3 linked regions of the Canis lupus familiaris genome follow. The protein of the gene in region 3 interacts with the protein of the main gene of each other region in a biochemical or structural test. Links are inferred from orthologs where the notes say so. Each region holds a gene or a part of one and is shown on either strand. Other genes may lie near its edges.

Region 1 (3,545 bases), on a different chromosome or scaffold from region 3:
GGTGCTCGGCTGGGACCCCAGCCCCGCAGGACGGCGGCTCCCAACCCGCAGTCCTGTCCTGCAGACCCTGAGTGTGGCAACGCCAAGGCGTGTCCCCAGGAGCCCCCTCAGCGGTCACCGTTCACCGTGCTTTCCCCGCAGAGCGGGCAGGAGGCGGGCCAGCTATGCCGTGGGCCGTGCAGGGCGGGCGTGCAACGGGCGTCCAGGGGACTGTGAACAGGACACCCCGGTTTAGCCCTGAGTGGCCACGAGGGAGGGACCCCTGTGAAGCCGGCATCCCCGCAGCGTCCCGGAGCCCGCTCCTGCACAGGCCGCGGCACCCGCTCTGGTCGTGACCCCAGGCGGGCGGGGGTGGGGTGCACTGGTCCCCACAAACAGCGCGGCTCCCGCCCGCACCCACACGGCCCGCCGCCTCCGGCCCCCCCAGGACCACTGCCCCGGGTGCCCAGGGCCGCCCGCTCCAGCCCCCGAGGCCACCAGGGCCAGGACAGAGACCCACGGGGGGCCGCAAAGCCACGAAACAGACGCTGGGCCTGCCGGCTCTTTCTGGGATTTTTATTTCTTTAAAATAATTCATACAAATGGTTACAGTCACAAACATGATTTTAACCAAAATATTGCTAGCCTACCACGTCAGCAGGACGGCACCCGCGCAGGCCGGGACGCTGCGCCCTCACATCCCCAGGACAGATGCCGACGGCCGAGCGCGCTGTGGGCGACGCGCACTTCTTGGAGCCACTTTGCGAAGCCGTCTTTGTTTGGAACAAGGGGATTCATGCCAAAATTAGGAAAAACAGCCGTTGTTTTGTTTTTCTAAATTATTCTAAAAATAAGACAAGCAGGTAGAAAAAACAATGCACTGAGTGGCGTAGAAAGAAAAACGGGAAGGATTCGTTGTCCTGAGAAGTTTGCCAACTGCCTCGTTCCGGGGCGCGGTCCCACACGAGGGGCGCCGTGTGACGCGGCCTGCTGAGTGTTCGCTCAGGCTCTCCTGCTGTTGACAGCTAAGCAAACAAATCCTCTGTAATGTTCTAAAGACTGTACACAGACGAGAACATTCATGATAGAATTAACTACTAACTTCTTTTGCTTAACGAGGACGCAAAGGACACAGGACAGCGGCTGGCCCTCGGGACGGGACAACTACAGCGGACGCGGGGAGGCCGGCGCCACCTCCCCCGCCCGGCGCCTGGACAGTCTCTGCAGCGCCGGGGCCACCGCAGGCGCCGCCTCTGCACACGCCGCTCCGAGGGCGCCGCCCTGCCCGTGCCGAGGCCGTCGAGCTCCGCCCGGGCTACAACTGGTCGGTCGCGTGGTCTCTATCTGCCTCGGGCTTGACGGTTTGGCCGGGAGAAGGGGCGTGGGGCGGGTGGGACACGGGGGGCAGGCCGTGGGACAGGGACATGGCGCTGGGGACGATGCCTTCGACGGCAGTGGGGATGCCGCTGGGGGCCACGCCCACCACGCCCGGCGGGTACCTGCTGGGAGGACAGAGGGCACGTGAGGCTGGCGGGGTCCCTTCCGTGGCCTCGGCCCAGGGACCCCCCCAGGCCTCGACTCCTCCCCGGCCTGCTGCTCCATGGGCTCTTCGCCTCACGCCTGGTGGCTCTGGCTCCCACAGCCCGGCCCCTGGTCCCCTGGGGCGCACACGAGCACGCGTTTCCAGGGGACCCCGTGTCCCCGCCCCCTCCACACCCGCTCACCTGTAGGCGGCCCCGTTGAGCTCAGGGTGCACTACGCCGGGGTCCATGCTGGCCCAGTGGGTGGCGGCGGTCAGGTGGTCCTTGTTGACACAGTTTTTCAGGCTGTCGGGGATGCGGCCTGGCATGTACGGTGGACAGAGAAGGGCCTGTCATGTGGCTGCCCCCAGCACTGTGGCAGCTCGGTGGCAGACACGGGCTGCGGTTCCGCAGCGGGGCTCCCCCTCCGCCTCTCCTCCCGGGACATAGCAGCTCGCAGCTCCGAGACTCCCCAGCCCAGGGGATGCCCCTCAGGGGCCCCCCACGTCTGCCAGCCCTGGGGACCTCGGGGAGCAGCAGACAAGGCCCAGCCCAGGTCCCCAGCTCAGCCAGCCGTCCGGCCCATGGGTGAGGGCACGGGGTGACCGTGAGTGGGCAGCGTGGGACACCCTCGGGGGACTCGGGGGGCTCGAGGGCTGTGCGGGGAGCCCCCCGGGGGACGCCTGCTGGGGCAGGTCCATCTCACGGCCTCTGAGGGAGGCTCGGGGCCACCTCACCTGTGATGGCCCTCCGGATCTCCCGGGCCGCCTCCTCTCGCATCTCGATGGACGCCTGCTCGCTGTACCAGGCCGCGTGGGGGGTGCAGATCAGGTTGGGAGCGTCCTTCAGGGGACCCTGGCTAAAGCTACAAATGGCACAAAGCGGTCAGGCTGGGGCGGAGGGAGCGTGACCCTGCCTGTGGCCACACCCCGGCCCCGCCACGGAGCGCTGGTCCCTGGAGCTGCGGGGCCCAGGCCCCAGACCCTCTCGGCAGGGCTGACGAGCGCTGCCCCTTCTGGGTCGAGGCCTCTGCAGACGCGGCCACACGGCTCGGCGCCCCAAGGCACCGCGTGACCGAGCCCTCGCCATCCCGCCTCCAGGACTGGCCACCTGCCCACTGGGCCCTGGTGGGGCTGGACACAAAGCCCAAGAACGGGACCTGGGGCCTGCAGACTGCGAGCGGGTGTGAGCGCGGGCGAGGGTGGGTTTGGGAGAGGTGGCATCCAGGAATCACCCAGGGCGCTGCCAGGAGGCACCTGAAGGGCTCAGATTCGTGCACGTCCAGGGCGGCACCCCGGATCCGCCCCTCCTTCAGGGCCTGGGCCAAGGCCTTCTCGTCGACCAGGCCGCCCCGGGCCGTGTTCACCAGGAAGGCGCCTTGTCGCATCTGGGAGGACACAAAAACAGCAGCACGTGAATCAGCACACAGGCCTCTCGGCTTGCGCCCACCCTGCCTGGGGACCGCACCCCGCCCAGAGGACCCCTGGCTGCAGTTGTGGGCTCTCCTGGCCCGGCCCCCCAGATGCACATCCCCCCATGGAAAGGATGTGGCGCCTCTGGGACACGGTGTGGCCCAAGCCCCTACCCCTGCACACAGCTGCGGAAGTGGGTTCAGGACCCTGTGATCCTGGGATGACGGACACAAAACCCAGAGACATGGTCTTCGGTGCAGTGGCCAGAGAGCCCTGTTCCCTCGGGTGGCAGCACCCGCTCGGTCCCCATGCAGCTTCACGTCCTCGGGCCAACGGTCCTGAGCCCCCCGGAACGCAGGCAGCTCCCAGCCCCACACCTGGGTCTTGGGGGTGCGCGGCTCCGACCAGTGCCCCAGCGCCACGCCTGTGCCTGCGCCCTCCCCAGCCCCACCCCACCGACTGGAGGCAAAGAGGAGCCCCGGGTGCCTGGGCTCATCCTCCGCGGGGCCACAGGGGCCAGGGGCAGACCCCGTGCGGGCACACACACACCCCCGCCGGGGACCCCGGAGCCCATGAGAGGCCACTGCTAGTTCCAGCTCCTGCCTGACCCAGGGCCACGCCTCACAGCCACGGT
Region 2 (3,054 bases), on a different chromosome or scaffold from region 3:
ACTGATAACAGCTAACATCAGGTCAGACATGACTTACGTGTGAAGCTGAACCCAGAGTTAGTTTCAAGTTAAGATTTCACAAATTTTCCAAAACACGAACTTTGATCTTGGTCTTTGTGTCTTGAGAAAGGAAGACCAAGAATATTCAACTGTTTGCCCAGATCTTACCCTAACTAGGGCTATGAAGTCATATCTAAACAATTAAAGAGAACCACCACTGGTGTGTGAAAGCGTAAAAGCCTGATAGGGGTACCCTGTCTCGGTCTTTTCCAGCAAAAGACAACAATGAGGAAAATAATGAAGACGTTATTGTTATTTTCTTTAAAGCAAGACAGCACACACACACAAAAACACTAAACCAACTAATAACATTAGAAAAACAATTAAACGGCTAACCTAACTGCTAGTTTTCAAAAGTAAAATGACTAACAAGGATTTTTTAAAGGTAGGAAAAGACTTTTACCCATATTAACCATGGGAAAAAAGGTACTGAATTTTATTTCTAGAAAGTGAAAGTAAATGATAGAACCACTTAATAAAAATTTAAGTCTCATATACAAAAGAGTATCATTAATTTTATTTCTAAAATCAATGCCAATGTTTCTTTTTCTCAAAAACTACTTGTGTACCTGACTGTTTCTCAAATGCCTCCCAGTTCTGGAGTTTTAAAATCAGGTGTTTTTGTCATAGTTGTCTATCTCAATTAACAACAACAACAACAACAACAAAAAACACAAAGCAAAAGTCTTCACATTTCCATTTCCATGACTTCACTCTTCCATTTTGTGTTCAGTGGTGGCAGCAGCAAAAAAAAAAAAAAAAAGAAAAGAAAAGAAAAACTAGAAAATTTATACAACAGCCATAGAAGAAGGCATTGCAATATTGCACCAACATCCTAAGTTCTGGCAAGTTTTGCCAGTGTAGAACTAACTTGTCTGTATCAGATATAGACTCTACTCAGGAGAAAATGGTATCAATTTGAATGATCCACTCCCCAGTTATTCTTGCTTAATTTTGTCAACTATGTGTTTTTCCTTCGAGTTTCAAGAATTGAAAGGTGCGCGGCTAATCCTAAAACACTTATCATAAATGCTTTTAAACAGTTATTCCTGAACCATTCTGAACTTTGAGGTTCCCATCCTTCATGCTAGTAGCTTTCAGTAAATAAAACAAAGGCTGAGGGCTTACATCCCCAGTGCGACTAAGTATTTTGTACTAAATAAACAAGTAGATATGACCAGTAAGATTATAATTCTGTTTCTTACCTCTAAAGTCAAAAATGAGCTCAAATTTTCCACGAGTTGCTACTTTCCATTCAATAACAGATGCAGCAGCCTTACTGAATGTAAAGAATGGGAGTTGCACTTACTTTTAAGGGGCCTTTATTTAGGAGTCTGGTATTACCTAAATTCTCTTTAAAAGTGCTTGCACGCTGCAGGGCCAGGGCTGCGTATACCAGTCCGATTCTCACTAAAAACAGGGTAACGTTATACAGACTGCAAAGAAAAACAATTTCAAAAAGAAGACATACATTGATAAGGAACACTAATGTTTACTTGTGAAAATAAAATATAAAATGTTAGTTTTCAGAAATCCATACATGTTTCAGGAATACAAGGAGCTCAGATATTACTGAATCAGTATGGACTGAAGATAGGCTACTTTGATACCAAATGAGGACTCCAGTTATTTTAACTTTCTAAAAATGTTAATACATGAAAAGACGTTACATCTAAAATTCAACAAGTATGGCAAACTGTGTGTGCAAGTGCACTAGCTTAAAAATATAGAATCCTAACCACGCATAAAAGGAGATGTGCCTTATATGTTCATAAGATGTTTGCAAGTATGGATATGCTTTCACTAACACAATGCAGATAAGAGAAGGCAGCTTAGAAATAGTGTTTTGAATATAAAAAAGTTACTTTTGTAGAAAATTTATATTTTTGCATTTTCAGCAAAAAGCCATGCAAAAAGGTCAAGAGTTTTAACCTTAAATAATAAAACCAAAAGGTCTAACAGACTGTAATACACTGAAATAAACGTTTCAAAAAGATTTCAGGTTGAGATAGGAACCAAAATTACACCCAGTGACACTTATCAGGTCTTCTCTTAGAAGATGCAGGACTCCTACGCTGACATCTGAAAGAAATGTTTTAAAGCATAAAATCAACTTCCCAGATAAGTGGATCACTCTATTCAACTGCTTCTGGAAGTAGTTTCAAGAGCTAGCGCTTAGAATGAACTTATTGCATGAGTTTGAGGCCACTGAAAAGAAAAATAAAATGATGCTAGCACAGAATGAAACATTTTTTACGCTATTAGACCAATGGCTTCGATAGTAAAACTGGTGAGGTTTTTCTTTATGTTTTTTTTAATTAACTACTTTGTCACAAATGAATTTTGTGTTTGGCTTTTTCGAAAGGGAGAAAGACGTCACTAGTTGCAGCGTCTGACCTCGTCCAGTATGTACTCCGGGAAATGCAGGTTGCACACCTGTAAACCATCCAGCTTGCAGGGCATCCGTGGGTACTCATCTTCCTTCCACTTGTTCTCTTCCGGGTCAAAAGTAAGAATGGAATCGCTGTAATGACCGTTGTAGCAAAGGCCTCCAAGAACCATTATCTGTTTGTCCAGCACAGTCACACCATGGCCACTTCTGCCAATTGGCATGGATGCTAAGATGGTCCACTGATCAGTCTCCGGGTTGTACACTTCTGTGGAAGGGCATCCCTGAGATTCAAAAGAGGCCCTCAAGATCACACAGACACCACCGAAGACATAAAGCTTGCCGTTGTAAGAGATCATCTTGTGAAAGCATCTCGCGTAATTCATCTTGCTCTTATTCTCCCAACAGTTGGTAACCACTTGCGTTCTTCTGGTCCGCTGTTCTATGGTCCCTTCTTTACTGGGGTCAAACACGCACACTTGTTTGGAGGTGGAAGATGAGGTGATCCCACCGGTGATGAACAACTTGTTATTGAGCACTGTCCCTTCATGTCCATATTTGTTAACGGGATAAGGATCCACGAATTCCCATTTATCATTGGTGAT
Region 3 (3,653 bases):
TCTCTCATGAATAAATAAATAAAAATCTTTAAAAAAAAAAAAAAAAGGAATGCAGATTGGTACAGCTACTATGGAAAACAGTGTAGAGGTTCCAAAAAATTAAAAATAGAATTACCATATGATCCGATAATTCTACTACTGTGTATGAGAATACTAATTCAGGGGGTGCCTGAGTGGCTCGGTGGTTGAGCATCTGCCTTTGGCTCAGGGCATATCTCGAGTCTGGGGATTGAGTCCCACATCGGGCTCCCTGCACAGAGCCTGCTTCTCCCTCTGCCTGTGTCTCTGCCTCTCTCTCTCTCTCTCTCTCTCTGTGCCTCTCATGAATAAATAAATAAAATATTTTAAAAAAATTTTAAAAAGAGAATACTAATTCAGAAAGATATATATACCCCATATTTCATTGTAGCATTATTTACCGTAGCCAGGATATGAAAGCAACCCAAGTGTCCATAGATAAATCAATGAATAAACAAAAATGCGGTTATGTATATACAGTGTGATATTACTGAGTCATAGAAAAGAAAAATATCTTGCCATTTACAACAACATGGATGGACCTAGAGGGTATAATGCTAAGTGAAATAGAGAAAGACAGATACTGTATGATTTCCCTTACATGTGGAATTTAAGAAACAAACAGAAGAGACAAAACTAAAGCAGACTCTTAAATACATAGAACAAACTGATGGTTGCCAGAGGGGAGGTGGGGGAGTGGGAATCAGTGAACTAGATAAAGGGGATTAAGAGTACGCTTTCTTGATGAGCACTGAGAAGTGTATAGAACTATTGAATCACATTGTACATCTGAAACTAATATAACACTGGATGTTAATTATACTTGAGTAAGAAAGAATTTTCTACATGAAGAACAATACCCATTAGCAATCATTCTGCATTCCTCTTCCCTCTTTCCCAATCCCAGGCAACTAGCCTACCCTCTATCTCTATAGATTTGCCTATTGTGTTTTCATATGAACGGAATCATATATGATTTTTTGTGACTTTTCATTTTTTCACTACTATGAATGTTCATAGCAGAACATTGAGTGCAATCTTATGTAGATGTATATTTTCATCTTTTTTGAGTTATATATAGGAGTAAAATTGTTAGACCATATGCTAACTGTATTTAACCTTTTGAGGAACTGTTTTCCAGAGCATCTATGTCATTTTACATTCCCATCAGCAACACTTAAAGTTCCCATTTTTCTACATTTTCACCAATACTTGTTATTATCTTTTTTATTCTAGCCATACTTTGGGTATGAAGTGTTATCTCATTGTGGTTTTGATTTGCCTTTTCCTGACAGCTAATGCTGTTGAATGTCTTTCCATATGCTTATTGGCCATTTGTATATCTTCTTTGAGGATTGTCTGTTTAGATTCTTTGCTTATTTTCAGTTGGGGTATTTGTCTTATTATTGAGTTGTGAGAGTTCTTTTTATGTCCTGGATGCAGCCCCTTTAGCAAATAGAGGATTTGCAAATCTTTTTTCCCATTCTTTGGATCTCATAAGGTTTTAAAGTGATAAGAATGTTTAAAATCCATTTTTTCCATTTTAATTGTATTTTTTTCTCCTTATTGAAGATGGATCCTTTGAAAATATCCAGTGGAGCATAGATCCAGGAGCAGACCTCTCTCAATATAAAATGGATACTACTGTAGTAGATACAAAGGTAAGTTAGAAAGTAAAACCAAGGCCCATGTGGTTATTCTAGTAAGTTGTTAGTCATCCTTCTCCCCTAACTAACTCTGTGACGTTAAGATAATCACATATCTGCATTTATTTATTCCAAATAAAACCTGCATTTCTTTATTCAGAAAACTAAGAAATGAAAATGCTTATTCTTCTAACTTTATGATGTTTTTGAAAGGGTAATAATACTTTCTGACTTTAAAGGCCTTTGTTGAGACACCCAAGGGGCTCAGTAGGTTAAGCATCCGACTCTTGATTTCAGCTCAGGTCATGATCTCAGGGTTGTGAGATTGAGCTCTACATTAGGCTCCATGCTGGGCTTTGAACCTACTTAAGATTCTCTCCCTCTCCCTTTGCCCCTCTTCTCTCTCTGTCTCTGTCTCTGTCTCCCTTTCTCTCTCTCTCTCTCCCCCCCCTAAAAAAAATGAAAAAGAAAGGCCTTTGCTGAAAAATATTATAGTATTAAATAACGAAAAATGCTAATTACATATTTTAATAATTTTATACACACACATATATATTTTAAAGATTTTATTTATTTATTAGAGAGAGTGCGCGCACGCAAACTAGGAGGAGCAGAGGGACAAGCAGATTTCCCTGCTAAACAGGGAACCCGATACAGGGCTCAATCCCAGGACCCTGGAATCATGACCTGAGCAGTAGGCAGACACTTAATCAACTGAGCCAGCCACAGGCCCCTTAATAATTTTATATTTTATCAAAATAATTCATCATATGCCTTGATTAACTTTTAAAATAACATACCATAAAGAAAAAAATTATTTTCCCAGTTGGCTATTTTTTAAATACTGTATATTTCTCTAAAAATTAAAATTCCCAGGCTCCTGGGTGCTCAGTTAAATGTCCAACTCTAGATTTCAGCTCTGGTGATAATTTCAGGGTCATGAGTTAGGCCTCACATTGGCCTCATGCTGGGCATGGAGCCAGCTTAAGATTCTCTCTCTCCTCCATCTGCCCCTCCCCTGCTCTTAAAAAAAAAAAAAAAAAGATAAAATTCCTAGTGGAAATAACTCTTTTGGCTTGTTTTTAGGTTTTATATAGTTTGAAAAGTACTCTTTCACTTGGGAGCATATTAATGAAGTATTTAACTTGGTACAGTATGAAATTGTTGTTCTTTGTGTACACTGACATTCATTACTGTGAAGCCAACTGGAGAAGAAAGGGAGGAGAAGCCCAGGGAGGTCAGTGGTATGCATCTCTCCCTTCCTTGGCAGCAGTCCTTCTTTTTGTGGGCTTGAGAGAGGATACTTGTGTATTGAAGCTAAAATGTTTTACAGGCAATAAAACCTAAATCTATATATATTCCTAAAGAATAAAAATAAATATAACTTAATGCTATTGAAGTGTACACTTAAAATATGGTAAAAAAAAAAAAAAAAAAAAGGTCAATTTCATGCTGTGTATATTTTACCAGAATTTTTAAAAAGTAAATATAAGGCCATATGGGATAATTGTTAAAATTTTTGAATTTTTAAATATTTAGGATGGCAGTCAGTCAAGATTAGCAGGAGGAGAGACAGTGGACATGGACTGCACATTGGTTAGTGAAACTGTGCTTTTAAAAATGAAGAAGCAAGAGCAGAAGGGAGAGAAAAGTCCAAGTAAGATTTGATTTTTTTTTAATTTAATAAAAATGTAGAGGGAAGTTTATAGTCATACCATTGCACTGATGACCAGAAGTGACCTCTTCACCATAAACCAGGGGTTTTTTCTTGTTCTGATGAATAGATTTCTCTTAGTAAAGCTCAGTTTCAGTATTACAAGGGGAAAATATCTTTAGCCAAAATCTTTTTTTTCCAGAAAGAACTCGAATTGTCCAGGGCTCAGCAAACCACAACCAGCTGCCAGTTTTATAAACAAAGTTTTATTGGAACACAGGCTCACTTGTTTATGTATTGCCTGTGGCTGCATGCATGGTACCACAGCAGAGCTG

The links.
Region 1: the proteins of RBBP8 (region 3) and CTBP1 form a complex in vitro, tested with the Homo sapiens proteins (3 studies listed by BioGRID and IntAct). The link is inferred for Canis lupus familiaris from reciprocal best matches to the Homo sapiens genes RBBP8 and CTBP1.
Region 2: the proteins of RBBP8 (region 3) and KLHL15 form a complex in vitro, tested with the Homo sapiens proteins (2 studies listed by BioGRID, with this or other methods). The link is inferred for Canis lupus familiaris from reciprocal best matches to the Homo sapiens genes RBBP8 and KLHL15.

Annotation. Positions count from the first base shown.
Region 1 is NC_049224.1:92,005,620-92,009,164, reverse strand, and holds the end of CTBP1 (C-terminal-binding protein 1), read right to left. Parts: intron 2,887-3,545; coding exon 2,756-2,886; intron 2,365-2,755; coding exon 2,237-2,364; intron 1,822-2,236; coding exon 1,704-1,821; intron 1,482-1,703; coding exon 1,295-1,481; 3' UTR 540-1,294; downstream 1-539. UniProt on the Homo sapiens protein: Corepressor targeting diverse transcription regulators such as GLIS2 or BCL6. Has dehydrogenase activity. Involved in controlling the equilibrium between tubular and stacked structures in the Golgi complex.
Region 2 is NC_049260.1:19,701,132-19,704,185, forward strand, and holds the end of KLHL15 (kelch-like protein 15), read right to left. Parts: coding exon 2,440-3,054; 3' UTR 556-2,439; downstream 1-555. UniProt on the Homo sapiens protein: Substrate-specific adapter for CUL3 E3 ubiquitin-protein ligase complex.
Region 3 is NC_049228.1:65,288,078-65,291,730, reverse strand, and holds part of RBBP8 (DNA endonuclease RBBP8), read left to right. Parts: intron 1-1,590; coding exon 1,591-1,679; intron 1,680-3,203; coding exon 3,204-3,321; intron 3,322-3,653. UniProt on the Homo sapiens protein: Endonuclease that cooperates with the MRE11-RAD50-NBN (MRN) complex in DNA-end resection, the first step of double-strand break (DSB) repair through the homologous recombination (HR) pathway.